2 linked regions of the Oreochromis niloticus genome follow. The protein of the gene in region 1 interacts with the protein of each later gene in a pairwise test. Links are inferred from orthologs where the notes say so. Each region holds a gene or a part of one and is shown in the gene's direction. Other genes may lie near its edges. The genes, in order: eno3 and aldoab.

Region 1 (7,761 bases):
TGTCTGTCTCTACAGCGATAGTCATAGCCAAGGGCACGAAAGACGCCTCTGGTGGTCAGGTATCCAGCAAGGTGTTCAAAATCGTTGAGTACCTGAGGAAGGCTGGTTATTAGGACAAGACAACCACCTTCATCTCACGAGATGGATGCCACCTCCTGCCTCCCTGTGTTTCTATATCTGAGCTTCTTTAGTTTTTTTTTTTTTTTTTTTAAAGTCATTTTCAATCTTCAGGTGTGTTTCCTGCTGTAGAGATGAATCAGAGTGTTTTCTCTGGTCTAAGTTAGCATGTGGTAGCTTTTAACCTGAGAGTACACGTCATGTTTAACGCAGGAACACAGTGTTACCATTATTTTTCTACAGTGGCGATTGACCAGCGTCCAATCAGAGCTCTGTGAAAACTCATTGCACACCTGAATTAAATAAAAACAAACATGGTTATACTTACATTCTGAGGGTGTCTTTATATGTGTGTGTGTGTGTGTGTGTGTGTGTGCGCTACAGCTTGTGTTCTACAAATGTTTTCTACAAACACCTCTTCTTCAGGGGCTGATTTATTGTGCGACACACAGCTAAAAAAATAAGACAGTCTAGTGCACTCATATACACGCATCACACCTAATATTTGATTAAATATGCCACAACAAGTTGTAGTATTAGTATTACGCACAACTGTTTGTTAGAGCTTATATAGCGTTTAAACAATACACACACGTTTGTCTTTCTGCATAAGTGTGGACCCATATTGACTTACTGCCTTATCAAGTCCCCTGATCTAAACCTGAACCTCAAAGCCACGTTTGTGTTCAAAGAGTGCTCTGAAGGAGAAAAGGCCAACTTTTCCATAAAATACAAAACTTCCTCTTCATACATAAATGTCATCACATGCTGAATGTCTTCATTATTCTGGTTTAAAACCTGCACAGGTTCATGCACAGGTATGCGCCCACACATCCACATTTCTTTTTGTACACATTAACATACTGGCTTGTCAAGTCCAAAACTAACTGACTCCAAAACCAGATATGAACCCTCACACCTCCCGCCTCCCTTCCCCTCACACTGTACTATGAAGCAGAAAAGGCTTTTGTGGCTTTATAAAAAAGGATGAAAAAATGCCCTCCACCTCAAAACCAGGCCAGACTGAATTTGTTTGTTCTCCCTGTGCTTGTTTGGGTTCTCTAGGGGAACTACAGCTTCACCCCACAGTCCAAAAACACATGTGTTGGGTTAACTGTCGGTGTGTATGTGACAATGACTGAAAAAAATTCTCATAATGTAGAAACATTCGCATTATTTTGGATTCAAGCTAAAAATGGCTCTTACAATGAAAACTGTACAAGCCCAGACACGTGTCATCCTACACATGTGTGGGCACATGCTAACCCAGAGGCTTATCATGGCTCTTTAGTCTTTCAAAGGCATGAGGACTCTCTGAAATATCCCTATAATGTAAAAATGTGCTCTTATTTTTATTTAAAAGTCACATGGTAAAAATATACCAAGCATAGCCGCCCACAAATGACTTCTTCTCAGGGCCCCTCTCCTTAAACTCACCCTTTAAATTAGGTCCCATATGCATAAAGATCCTTATAGTTCTCACAGAAACCTCGTTAGCCTAAAACATATCAGCACAGACAGCTTAAAAGTAATTTAGAGGAAAACTAAGCAGAAGGGGAATAAAAGTATAACTCAGTGAGGAGGTGTGGCTGACTTTAGAGCTTTGTATGATGCACTCTTTCAAAGAAAATTTTATTTTAAGGCAGCTGCGAATATCTTCTAATTGAAGAAACAGGAAAATATACCTTAGCTTATAAAATGTTTGAAAACACAGACCAAACACAGGCCTATGTGTGCGGCAGGCACACTAGTAATGAATGTGCTTTATAGGGACAGATCGGCTGACCTCTGACCTGTAGACAAGAGCTGAAATGCTAAAAACTGCAGTTCCTGTAATGTCCACTCGGGCCTCCAACAGTAATTCAGTCCCCACGATCTCCCAAGTTAAAATGTCCAAACGTAGAACTGAAGTAAACATGTTTGCACAAGATGCCCAAAAGGCTGAGCTCTACTTTTAATAAGTGAACTTCAGATATCTGTGCCTGTGTGGTGCACTCATTCAGTCCATGGACGCGGCTTTATAACCCTGCAAGATGGCATAAGGTCATAACTTAGCACTCCAAACTCTCATCCAAACATGGCCACGCCAGACTCTAAAAAGATCAACATGGCACCAGCCAAAAACTCTTACAAACACCCTGCTGTTCACCTTTTAGTTGGAGACCTTTGTAAACACGGGTCCCCACAGGTGTATAAAAACAAACATCTGTGTATGTGGTTAAAATGCAACATAAATGATTACTGCTAAGAGTAGTACAACTAAAAGTAGTATTATTGAAATATAAAATTGTGAACTTCTAGTGCAACGTGATTTTGTTACTATAGTACTGCAGCCCACTCGTACTGCTCCAGAACTACAGTTACATGTCACGGTGAAGTAGAAGTGACAAACTTCCACTTTACTGACACAGACAGTAAGATAAATGCAGCACTGCAGGAGAACTTACACTATGTGTCATATACAGAGTGTGCCCCTCCCCCACCACTCCAGTAAAGTGCAGTTATATTTAGTAAAGGCACCGGGGACGCTGGACAGGCCGCCGTGTAGCCACTCGGTGTGTGTGAAGTACAGTTAAAGGTGAGCGTAAAGGGTAAGGTGTGTGTGTGCTGGGGTTACTGCCCTTTGCAGTGAATGCTGAGCTGGTCTCACATTTCCCCTTTAGATGAACTTCAACCTTCTCTGTGGGCGTTAGGGACCATCACTCTTGTTCACCCCACAACATAATAGTCATTCAGCACACAGAGTAAAACTGGGCCCCACAAAAAGACTTTTTTTCCTTCATTCTTGTGACGTTTTGAACTAATTTGTGCCTTTTTTCATCGCATTATGGTAGAAATTTAAATTTGTGTTTCTTTTGTGGCTTTTGTTTAGGAGGAAAGTCCTCTGTGAATGTTCATGTCACACCAGTTCACAACAATGATGAACTAAATCATTTTATTTAATCGGTCTGCTGGATTTTAACAGTTGGGCTGTATTTTTAAACCTTTCTGAACTTGTACATGTGTTCAGTGATCAGCTGCTGCAGCTGCCTGTGTCGCCATCCACCTGTGAGTCAAAGAGGCCACGCCCCTAAAAATGCAAACTTTAAGCTTTAGTGCAATTTAAATATGCAGATGCAGTCGTTAAACCTCACCAGTCTAAGCTTGTGTGCCTGAAATGACTGCAGGTTTCTACTGCTGTCAACGAAAGATACAAGTTTTCTAATCACAGATGGGACTGAAACACTAAACCAGTAAACCACTGAGGTGTAAACACCTTTAACATCTTTGCATTTAAGCACAATAAAATCAGGTACACACAAAGGAGACACATGAAAACAGCAGAAATCAAACCTGAAAAAAGGGAATTTAAGAGGTTCCAGTTTTTTTTATTATGTGTATTTTTGAATGAAAGTCAGAATAAGAAACACCTTTTTGCCCTTTAAAGATGAGGGACCACATAACAGAGTTTAACTGGGTAACTTTTACTTAAAAGTAATCGGTTTAAACAGTTGGAGTGCCCACTAGGACAAAACAAACGCCTCTTTTTATTTAGCCTCCACATGCTCAGCACACTGACAGCTTCCTCAGAGTAAAGGCCGTCCTCTGTCATCAGTGATTTAGTTTCTTTAGGTTTTCCTCTGAATAAATATTAAACATTAACAAACTGCTTATTTGACAAATTAACATGTGATGTGATGTTTTCCCTCAGATGAGCCTGAGCTCTGGGTTTCGTCTGGCTGTGAGCGTCACAGTGATTTTAAAGTTTTAGATTAGATCATGCACACAGAGCCACATTTGTTTAATGATTCTTGTGTTTGAAAGCATTAAATTAAACAGAGATGATAGCGCTCGAGTGTTCGAGTCGCAGCACTTCCTGGATTCAAATCGTCTCTGCAGATATAAAATCAAAGAGCATTTACTTTTAAAGCGGCACGGCAGGTCCTTATTATTATTTATTATTACTATTAATGAGGTGGTTTTATACATTTCTTACATTATTTTCAGACTTTTCCATTTAATTTTCATTATTATTGCGTATGTATTTTGTTATTTACCTGAGCTCTTCTGCATTATTAAGCCTTTGCTTTGTGGTGTTGCAGGCTGTGTTTAATGTTTTGGCTGCAGTAACACGGGCACTTAATGACTTTTGGGTTAGACAAAGATTATATCACACTGTTGCTCCAGTGCATCCATGTCCCCTGAAGTCTTTAAGCTCTTATTTCAGAGCAACTGACGAACAGAAACATTCATTGTACCTGAGTTTAAAGACTTCCTGGATTGTGTTACACTGCTGGTTCTTTGGGAAGCACTAGAAATGTGTGTGTTCAGGAAGAGACTGGAACTATTTACATATCTGAGCGTGTTACACTAGGACTGCAGTCCTCATAGAAACTTACACAGCTTCAGATTAAGGCTCTTATAATTATGCTTGGAGACGGCAAACAGCAGTGAAGATCTGATGATTAACTACAGCTGGGAGGTTTTTCTGTTTGCCTCCGTCCTGTCACATGCACACACTCCCTGCTTCCTCCTCCTCCTCCTTCTGCTGCAGCTGCAGGGAGAGGCTATAAAAGCCCTGCTGGGGGACAGACAGACACTTTCCACGTCAGTCGGACAGTCGGACAGTCAGACAGACGACCCCCTCTTCTTGCTCACTGCCTCTGAACAGGTAAGCTGGGATGGTAGGCGGCTGAGGGCTCTGCTTGGAGGTTTTTTAAATAACTTCCTGTTCGTTTCCGCCTCAGTCTGCTTCTGGTTTGGTGACATGCTTTTTAGACTTTTACTCTGAAAGTTCAGTTTGCAGAAGTTCTCCTGAGGTGTTAACTCAAATGAGTTCCTGTTCTGGAGGCTCATTTTGTTCCTGTTTATGGCAGGAAGGGGAACACAGTTTGAAAGGTTTGACTTTGGGTGGGCTGAAGGTCACAGAGCTGACAGACAGACGTGAGAGGCTCAAAGTCCGCAGACAGACGGACACCCTCCATGTGCTCACAGGGAGCTTTAAATCTGAATCTTTAGCATTTATAACTCCCCCTGAGCTCAGAACTGGACACATTTAAGCAGGTTACATAAACTCCAAGCAACACTTCCTGAATCTGACTCTTCACTTTAAAGAAAGGGGTTTTATTGCATTTTGAAAAGACTTCTGTTGACTTTCTACTTGTTGAGTGACTTTGTTTCATCTGTAGCGTAACGATAATGATGTGTGATAACTTTTACTCTTACTGAGCCATTTTATGTTATTGGTTCATTTCCTGTTTGTTGAGCAGCCTGAACAACTGCAGCAGTTCATTCAGGCTGAAACAAAGTGTCCTTAAATCTGCCCTGCTGCGTGGCTGCTCAGGATCACTCAGCCAATAAAAGTTGTTTTCATTTGTCCCACATGTTCTAGCAGCAGACTTGACGCAAATCTAATGATCAGAGGTGATCACAGGACCTGCTGGGTGTCAAATGGCCACTCTGCACCTCAAAATGAGGCGTGTCCTCCCCTCAGGGGTCTGGGAGACAGGGGTGTGGTGCTGGGGGGAGTGGGGCACTAATCCTTCAAAATGATGTTTCTGTATCAAAGCAGCCATGGGTGGACTAGTCCATCCCTTTAAATGCATCACTGTAAATATAACTACAAAGTGAGCGCTCATGGACTAAAAGCTATTGTGCTAATTATAGATATAGACCATGTCAAAGTTGAGCCCCCTCCCCACTGTCCTTCAGTGGTCTGAGATGAAAAAATATATATTACATACTGGTGAACCAGTTTGTGTTCAAACACATGCTTCTCCACAGCTGACTGACGGACCTACAGTCTGAGCAGGAGCAGCTCACTACTACCATATACTTGGTGCAGTCTCCATCAAATGCTCTCCACAGATGGACGGGCAGTTTCACTACACCTACTGCAGCGTAATCGTGGCTTCACTGTTTTGTTCTGAAGTCTTTAAACCATGTGAGCCTTCTTACTCACAGACTGGAACGTATTCACAGCTGAGACCAGAATGCATTTTGGCCCCTTGCTGGTCGACCACATGGTTTAACATGGTTGCAAACTTGTTTCGGGCTGGTCATGTCTCCTAATGATGACCAGCATCCATTAGGACTGAACAAACGTCACTGCTGTGTGGTTTTTATCTCTGAGGATGTCTCTGGGCATTTTGTTTAAAGGCTAACTTGGCACAACTGGCCTGCATGTAGTAAAACTCAGTGAGTTGCCTTTCTAATCATTTTATCTCTAAACCAATAAACACATGTTTGATTAAATTAAACTCCACTTACAAAACTGTTAAATGGCTTTATCCAATCCTGGTAACTCTTCTTCTCAGAAGGTCCAAACCTCTCTGGGTGAGCCTGTCAGGGGTTAAACTGGGGTTTGAGAGGAGGGCGTTCACTGAGCTGAGACGCTTGTTTTAAATCAGTCTAGTAAGGAATATGAAATCCTTACAAGGATTGACTTTAATAATATATGATTGGCTTTGCATTCTGAGAAGTCCTCTAGAAGAAGTGTCAGTTATATCCTCCTGTATGGCGTTAAAGCCAAAAGCTGCAGAGGCGAGTGTCTTGAGTTGCACAGCTGAAAGTCCTGATGAACACAGCTACACAAAAGCTGTTTTCAGTGGTCAGTGTTATTGTGACTGGCTTTTCAAGAAACATGAGAAGACTGTGTGAAATGATTAGTTGGTGTGCATTTAAGTGTCCTCAGTCAGTGTAAATTTGCTCAGCTTTCAGCACACCCAGCACGAACAGGCCTTGTTCCATCTGCCTGAGACGTTTAACCTTCGACTCATGACAAAAAATTGGGTTTTAACAGATTTCCCCTAAAAGTGTCACTGATTTCAGTGACTTATCTGTTTGTTCTGATTCTATGTCAAGTCCAAAGTCTTGGTGCTCAAATGTACCCAAGCTGTGTACAGGAAAAACACTTTAATACATCTGCATGGGTATTTAACAGCCTCTGTCAGACTGCCGCTGTTATAGTGAGTTTATTCAGTGTGAAAGCAGACCTGCAGATCTGAAAGAGGCTGGCTGACCCACACTGAAGTGCAGCCAAGTTAAACTCTGAGCATGTGTACAGTGTTTGTAAAGGCCATCAGGGGTTTGGAGTGTACTGTAAGAGCTCAGCTGTTCAGCTGGCATCTGCCCAAACACTCTTACATAAAACACAGCAGACGTGACGGACGCTCTGAACCTGCTCACACAGTTGGACCAGAACACTTTTACTACGGGAGCTTATCTCGGTGTGCACAGAATCAGAGTTTACTGTATCAAACCTAGCAACCAGATAAAGCCCAGTCCTTCAGCTGTGAAGTGGGTCATGCACAGCGGAGGCTAATATCAGCTCAGTCACAAATACCTCTTCAAATGTCAGAAGCATTAATAAGAGTCTGTGTAACTGAAGAACAGCAGGGAGGAAGTCATGACCTCTGCAGAAAGGTCAGGGAAAAGGTCAAAGGCTCCTACACGGCTGGTGTTGGTATAAATAACCCACGCAGACTATGACCTCCCCCTCGTGTCTGCAGAATGGTCTGTCCCTCTCTCCTGTTGAGCCCTGTAGCTGCCAGTCAGGAGTGCAGGGCTGTGATTGGTTCTGTGGGCAGAGTCTGATGAAGGAGGTCATTATGGAGGCATCATGGCATTAAACAGGATTTCTGCAGCAGGTCTCTCACTCAATCT
Region 2 (7,302 bases), on another chromosome or scaffold:
ATATCTTTTCTATTAAGAAATATTGCATGTTTGTTTATTTATTACTAACTAACCTATTATGATGTTTGTTAGAAGAAAATTAGTAATAAATAGCAATATTCCTAAAAAGCAAATAGTCCAATTGCAAGCCTACATTTAACAAACATGTATGTGTGTGTATGTGTGATACACTGTGTGTATGTGTGATAACACTTTATCAATGTGTCTTGTGACTTACTCTGATTTTCTTTGAATCACCTTGTACCCAAAACCAGCAGCAGAGCTACTCAGGGTCTTCCAAGCCCCAGGATCAATATTGAAAGAAAGCGCAGGATTTAACACTGAGAATTAAAGAAGCAAAAAAAAAAAAAAAACTCTAATGTGATTATAGCACTTCTGTTAAATACCACATACAGAAAATTGTATAGAGTCTGTGTTTCTCTTTAATTTTGTTGGAGTGTAGCAGTTTGAACTGAGGTCTGCCTCAGTGGGTGATCTTTTATTACCACTAGAGAGCACATAAGCTAGATATTTTTAAATTCTAAGAACTCAGAGGAATTATTCTCTTGTAAAACACACTCAAGACTTCAATTTGGAGTCAATTTTATGTCTTAAATTCCATATATACAGTCAAAAGTTTGGACACACTTTCTTATTTAATCGTTTTTCTTTATTTTTTAGTACTCTCAACATTGTAGAGACATACTAAAGACATCAAATATATCCACGATATATGGAACTATATAGCAAAGAAAAAAATTATAAATAACTCTAAATATGTATTATATGTTACATTCCTGAAAGTAGTCACCGTTTCCTTTGTTGACAGCGCTGCAAACCCTGGGCCTTCCCTTAATAAGCTTCATGATGAAGTCACCTGAAATGGTTTTCACTTCACAGGTGTGCCTTGTCAGATTTCATTTGGGGAAATTCTTGCCTTCTTGGTGAGATTGGGACCATCAGTCAGTGTGTTGTGCAGGAGTCAGGTAGATACACAGCTGACAGTCCTATTTGACAACTGTTAGAATTCATATTATGGCAACAACCATTCAGCTAGGTAAAGAGAAACGACAGTCCATCATTACTTCAAGAACTGAAGACAGTAATTCCGAAAAATTGCTAAAATTTTAAATGTATCCCCAAGTGCAGTCGCACAAAACATCAGGCACTTGATGAAACTGACTCACATGAGGACGCCCCAGGAAAGGAAGACCAAGAGTCACCTCTGCTGCTGAGGATACATTTATCTGAGTCACCAGCCTGAGACATCGCAATTTAACAGCACCTCAGATTTGAGCCCAGATAAATGCCACACAGAGTTCCAGTAGCAGACACATCTCTACATCAGCTGTTCAGAGGAGACTGTGTGAATCAGGCCTTTATGGTCAAATAGCTGCTAAGAAACCACGACTAAGGAAAAGCAACAAGCAGAAGAGATTTTTTTTTAGCCAAGAAAGACTAGGAATCAACATTGGACCAGTGGAAATCTGTGCTTTGGTCTGACGAGTCCAAATTCGAGAACTTTGGTTCCACCTGCTGAGTCTTTGGTGAGTGTGAACGGATGGTCTCTGCATGCATGGCTTCCACCGTGAAACGGGGAGAAGGAGGTGTGATAGTGTGGGAGAGGCTTTGCTGGTGACACTGTTGGGGATTTATTCAAAATTGAAGGCACACTGAACCAGCATGGCTACCACAGCATCCTGGAGCGACATGCCATCCCATTCAGTTTGCATTTAGTTGGACCATCATTTGTTTGAAAACAGGACCCCAAACACACCTCCAGCTGTGTAAAGGCTATTTGACCAAGAAAGAGAGTGATGGAGTGCCGTGCCAGATGGCCTGTCCTCCACAGTCACCTGACCTAAACCCAGTTGAGATGGTTTGGAATGAGATGGACCGCAGAGTGAAGGCAAAAGGGCCAACAAGTGTTCAGCATGTTGGAAAACCATTTCAGGTGACGACCCCAATAAGCTCATCAAGAGAATGCCAAGAGTGTGGAAAGCAGTAATCAAAGTAAAGGGTGGATATTTTTGAAGAATCTAAACTATAAAACATGTTTTTGAGTTATTTCACACTTTTTTGGTTTACTACATGATTCCATATGTGCTCATTTATAGTTTTGATGCCTTCAGTGAGAATCTAATGTAATTAGTGATGAATATAAAGAAAAAACATTAAACGGTTTCATAACCCCCTGAAAAGTAAATTTATTAAAACATTTTATTACAATGCCATGCCCTCAAGTTTAATTCTTGTCAACACAGTGTTAGTTAGATTATTCATCACAGGATCAAAAAGTACAATATGACACTGAAAACAGGCCTCAAATATGTGATGATTGCATTAACACAGAATTTTTTGTGATTTAGCATTTACATATTTATTGTGGATTAATAATCAAGAATTTAATTTTGGAAAATTATTTATGAAAGGGTTTTTCACTAAGTGCATGCTAGAGGTGAAATGCAATTAAAATATTGTACTCATTAAGCTATTTTTACACTCTGAAACTAACTGGGCTGATCACACGTCTCAGTAAGTTTGATTCACAGAGAAAAAAAAGGAAATGAGCACAACAGACATACTGCTCCATAATAGGGTGTTACTTATTATAGCATTCTGCAGGTTTTCAATAAATATTTGTTCAGCTAAGTGCGTAATTTTACTTAAAATGAAGGCATAACTAGACAATGAAAGATAAAAAGCACAAACTGTCTTACCTGACAAGAATATTGTAGAACTAAGTATCCAGTTCATTGTGTTACTCCCATGGAAAATAATTTTAACTGTGATATTTGGTTTTATTTTTAATTTTCACTGCCACTTCTGCTAAAAGCGTGTAAGAAGGAGCCAAAAAGCAGAAATAATCAGGTGACTGATCAAAGCCAAGGCATCTGTAGAGGAAGGAGGAGTAAAACACAGCAGCAGCTGTGGTGGTGTGTGGCCAACTTTTAATTTAGTTTAAGCTCTAATTTTCTTAAACAATAGTATAACAGTAAACCAACTGGATAGTTTATTAATATGTGGACAACCAGATGAAATTGTTTTAAATGTAATTAAAATGTTAACATTTAAATAAAATCATCTGCCTCATTAGCAGGTCTAAGATAAATTCTTTGCTGAAAATTTGAGGTCAGTCTGATAAAATTCTTTTTGTTTATCACGTTAAATTGTAAATAAGAAAAGGGAATGTTGAACATCTAACATTATGACTATTACTTTCCCTGTAGTTGACTAGTAAGTTGAATTTGCTTGTTCACATTTCGACTTAACACGTCTATTCCTGTTGCATTGTTCAGCCCACAAGCCCTCCTGTCAGGAAGTTGGTCTCTTTTACGGCAAGTGCGTGCCACTAAAAAAGTGTAGTGTGCACTACAAAACCCAAAGTCTGAAAATGTGAGAACATCCGAGTTGCAAAATTTTATGTCTTTTCATGTGTCTGTTTCGTGCTTTCCCATGAGCTGAGTGAGAGACACAGAAACAGATGCAAAGTGCAATGTGCCCCGAAAATATGAACCTGCAACCTTTCCCTAGCTTGGCGGTTGACCTCTTCCTGCAGAGCACAGACGATCAAGAAAGGTTGAGAAAAGGTCAAGGATCAGTGTGCTGTGTTGCTGCGTCTGGTTTGGATTTCTAAAGGCGGGTTGGCAATGTTGCAACATGCTCAACCCTTTCTCACTCTCACTCTTTTTCTGTGTGTGTCTGTGTGCACGCAGACACACATATTTAGTGCATTCTACATATACCCCCAAATTTATCTTCCTTCACATACTATTTCAAATGACCTCTGGATATTAGATGTTCTTCTTTGGTGAGGCAGCGCATTTTAAAATAACTGCAGCCAAATAAAATGTTTCATATAAGACAGAATGTAAAGGATGTGCTTGGAAGATGCATAATTTCATTTAAGGAGAGTGTAAGAAACACTTACATAGTAGGCAAATTTGCGCCATGCCATTCTTCCCTAGACATTTCTGGATAATATCGTCTACTCATTACCCATCTATCTGGACTTTATCTAAACCCTAACTGCCTGTTATTCCATCGCATTTTGTGCCATTCACTGAAACACTCTTTGCCCTTTGAGTGGCTGCTCGCTAGCACGTTACTCCAGCCCCAGTCCTGCTGAATGTCACAAGCCATCTCTGGTTGCATCCTGTTCTTTTTATAGTTGGGCAGCTGAAATGTGAGGGGTCACAATGGGAGGATAAATACAAGGGCCAGCAGGACTGCAGGGGTGTCACAGACGAAGGCCGGATCTTCTCCCTTCTTCTCTCTTCTCTCAGCTCTCCTCGCAACCTCAAAGGTAAAAGATTGAATTCATGCCCATGAAGAAAACAGCATTTTAAGTGGATTTGTTGGTTAGCTATTGAATGTTATGTTATAAAGCCTTGGCATAATGAGAGGCTTATGACCTGTATACCAGAATTAAAATAAAAACAGTGTTATGCATCTTCTTGTAGCTTTCACAACTGTGTGGTTAACATGACTAGCTCGAAGTATATCAGTGAAACCCGCAGGTTCATGTCTGTTGGTTAAATGCAAGTGTGCGTCTTTTTTTTTCATTACCTCAGTGAACCAGATGCTATACAGATGAAAATATCTCATCCTTTTCTATAGTATAACAACACTAAATAATGATTGTGATGAACTGTGAGAATGATTCTCCCTTGACATTAAACAAAGCTGATCATTTTTGGTAAACTTCAGTCACCTAGCTTTATCTGATGCAAAGTTTCCATTGGCACATTGGTGGGGTGACTCAATAGTCTGACTAATTTCTTGCTTTACTGGATCAATTCATCTAAACTACCTTCTGCAATGTGGCATGCCTCATCAACAGCGGGGTGTAACACTGCACATTTTCTTTTTTGCAGCCCCTTCATGCTACATGAGCTACAGTGCACTCACTGCCTCATGCAAGCAGTATACTGGGTACACTGGGTATATTTAGTCTAACGTATTGATAGTGGCGACAGGGTGACAGTTGGAGGAGGTATGCGATAGGAGGCCAGTCAAGCGGAATGGTGAGGGAAGGGGGGCTGTGGAGGGGAATGGAAAGGTCAGGGATAAGAGGCTAGAAAATGGAATAGGTCACGGACGTGCACACGATTTTTTAAGGGTGGTCAGATGCATGGAGGGTGGGGCATGTGGTGGTGGTGGAGGGGGGGGGGGAGGGGGGGGGGGGGGGGTATCTGTGGAAGTTCTCTGACACTGGATCCTCTGTGAGGCTACATATTGTGCCTGGGGAGTAGAGTGAAACCAGTGCACAAGCTGCTGCAGCAGTTAAAGCTTAAACAGCTGCTGTCGCATGTAGGACACAAGCTGGCCTGGGTTGTTTTAGCAAAAGATAGTCTGACAGGAAAACCATGAGCCAGACGTTTTTGTTTTTTTTTTACCACTTCCTTCACACAATGAACCCGATGTTCTGTTCTCCTTTCATCTAGCAGTTTCCCACACATATACCCTGAAACTGTTACACTCAAAAGCAGATATGCAGAGCAGTATAACCTTTCGACTTGGCACACTGTAAAAATGTATAATCTCTGTGTCCTGTTCATTATTAATTTCTCAAATTTTTGTCTTCCCTTTATTTATATCAAGAGTCAGGATGCCTCACGCATACCCTTTCCTCACTCCTGAGCAGAAGAAGGAGCTCAATGATATTGCTCTGAAGATTGTGGCTCCTGGCAAAGGAATCCTTGCCGCAGATGAGTCAACTGGTAAGAAAATGAACCTATATACTAACAATCAGTTATTTGGCACAGTCAACTCAACAGTTGCCAAAAACCATGACTTAAGGATCACAGTTAGGCTACAGTTGAAACTGGTTTCATTGTGTGTGTGTTTTCTCAGACCTGAACTGAAACACTTCTGCAAATGTGCAGACATGCAGACAGACTGTGGTTTCCAACACCTAATAATATAGTATTTTTTTATAGTCCATCTGATTTGATATGTTTCTATAACCTCCAGGCAGTGTGGCCAAGCGCTTCCAGAGCATCAATGCTGAGAACACTGAGGAGAACAGGAGGCTGTACCGCCAGCTCCTCTTTACTGCTGACAACCGCATCAGTCCCTGTATTGGTGGCGTTATCCTCTTCCATGAGACCATGTACCAGAAGACCGACGATGGCAAGCCTTTCCCTCAATACCTCAAAGAAAGAGACATGGTGGTGGGTATCAAGGTCGACAAAGGTGTTGTCCCCCTGGCAGGAACCAATGGCGAGACAACCACCCAGGGTGAGCACAGAAAAGATCCAGACATCATCAGTATTACATCATCATCTTTTAATATTTTTATCTAACGTATCGTGTATGGCTTTCCTTCTTAACAGGTCTCGATGGACTTTATGAGCGTTGCGCCCAGTACAAGAAGGATGGTGCTGACTTCGCTAAGTGGCGTTGTGTTCTGAAGATCACCCCCACCACGCCCTCAAGACTGGCTATCATAGAGAATGCCAATGTCCTGGCTCGCTATGCCAGCATCTGCCAGATGGTAAGACACAATAGACAGATAACCCAGTTTCACAGAATTTTACAAAATACTTTTGCTGTTTTTGCTTGTTTCTTTTTTGCATGGCTGCATTTCATTTGATCATGCCACACACACACTTCCTGCATGGCTAGAAACACGCAATGAGGAAACCTCAGAATGTGCCAACAAGCTCAAAAACCTTTTCTCCAAATTAATACTATATCATAGTATCCACAAGGCAGCATAGCAGAAGCAGAAATTTTTAAATTTTAAAAAGTCTTCACTGTTGGATTTCATGTCTTGCCTTCTTAATATGAGCTCCTATTTTACACTGTCCTTGTGTCCTGGCCTTTCCTAGCATGGTATTGTCCCCATTGTTGAGCCTGAGATTCTTCCTGATGGTGACCATGACCTGAAGCGTTGTCAGTACATCACTGAGAAGGTCCTGGCTGCCGTCTACAAGGCCCTGTCTGACCACCACGTCTACCTGGAGGGTACCCTGCTCAAACCCAACATGGTTACCGCTGGACACTCTTGCTCACACAAGTACACCAACCAGGAGATTGCCATGGCAACTGTTACTGCCCTGCGCCGCACCGTTCCCCCTGCAGTTCCTGGTAAGCTGAAAGTGCATCACACGCTTGCTGATATGCACACTTTTCCACTTTTTTAGACATAATCTTTTGTGACTAATCTACATTAGATCTGCACTCTGGGTTGCTAAACTCTACCTGCTTTGCAGGTATTACCTTCCTGTCTGGTGGCCAGAGTGAGGAGGAGGCCTCTGTCAACCTGAACGCCATAAACCAGTGCCCCCTGCACAAGCCCTGGGCACTCACCTTCTC

What was found.
Region 2: the proteins of eno3 (region 1) and aldoab interact in a two-hybrid assay, tested with the Homo sapiens proteins (2 studies listed by BioGRID and IntAct, with this or other methods). The link is inferred for Oreochromis niloticus from reciprocal best matches to the Homo sapiens genes ENO3 and ALDOA.

Annotation. Positions count from the first base shown.
Region 1 is NC_031967.2:79,649,358-79,657,118, forward strand, and holds the start of eno3 (beta-enolase), read left to right. Parts: upstream 1-4,610; 5' UTR 4,611-4,768; intron 4,769-7,761. Other genes in the region: pfn1 (profilin-1), read left to right, coding at 16-113. UniProt on the Homo sapiens protein: Glycolytic enzyme that catalyzes the conversion of 2-phosphoglycerate to phosphoenolpyruvate. Appears to have a function in striated muscle development and regeneration.
Region 2 is NC_031973.2:16,919,425-16,926,726, reverse strand, and holds the start of aldoab (fructose-bisphosphate aldolase A), read left to right. Parts: upstream 1-4,150; 5' UTR 4,151-4,285; intron 4,286-5,583; 5' UTR 5,584-5,590; coding exon 5,591-5,702; intron 5,703-5,955; coding exon 5,956-6,222; intron 6,223-6,317; coding exon 6,318-6,478; intron 6,479-6,815; coding exon 6,816-7,074; intron 7,075-7,199; coding exon 7,200-7,302. Other genes in the region: integrin alpha-M, read right to left, coding at 218-320, 2,700-2,736. UniProt on the Homo sapiens protein: Catalyzes the reversible conversion of beta-D-fructose 1,6-bisphosphate (FBP) into two triose phosphate and plays a key role in glycolysis and gluconeogenesis. In addition, may also function as scaffolding protein.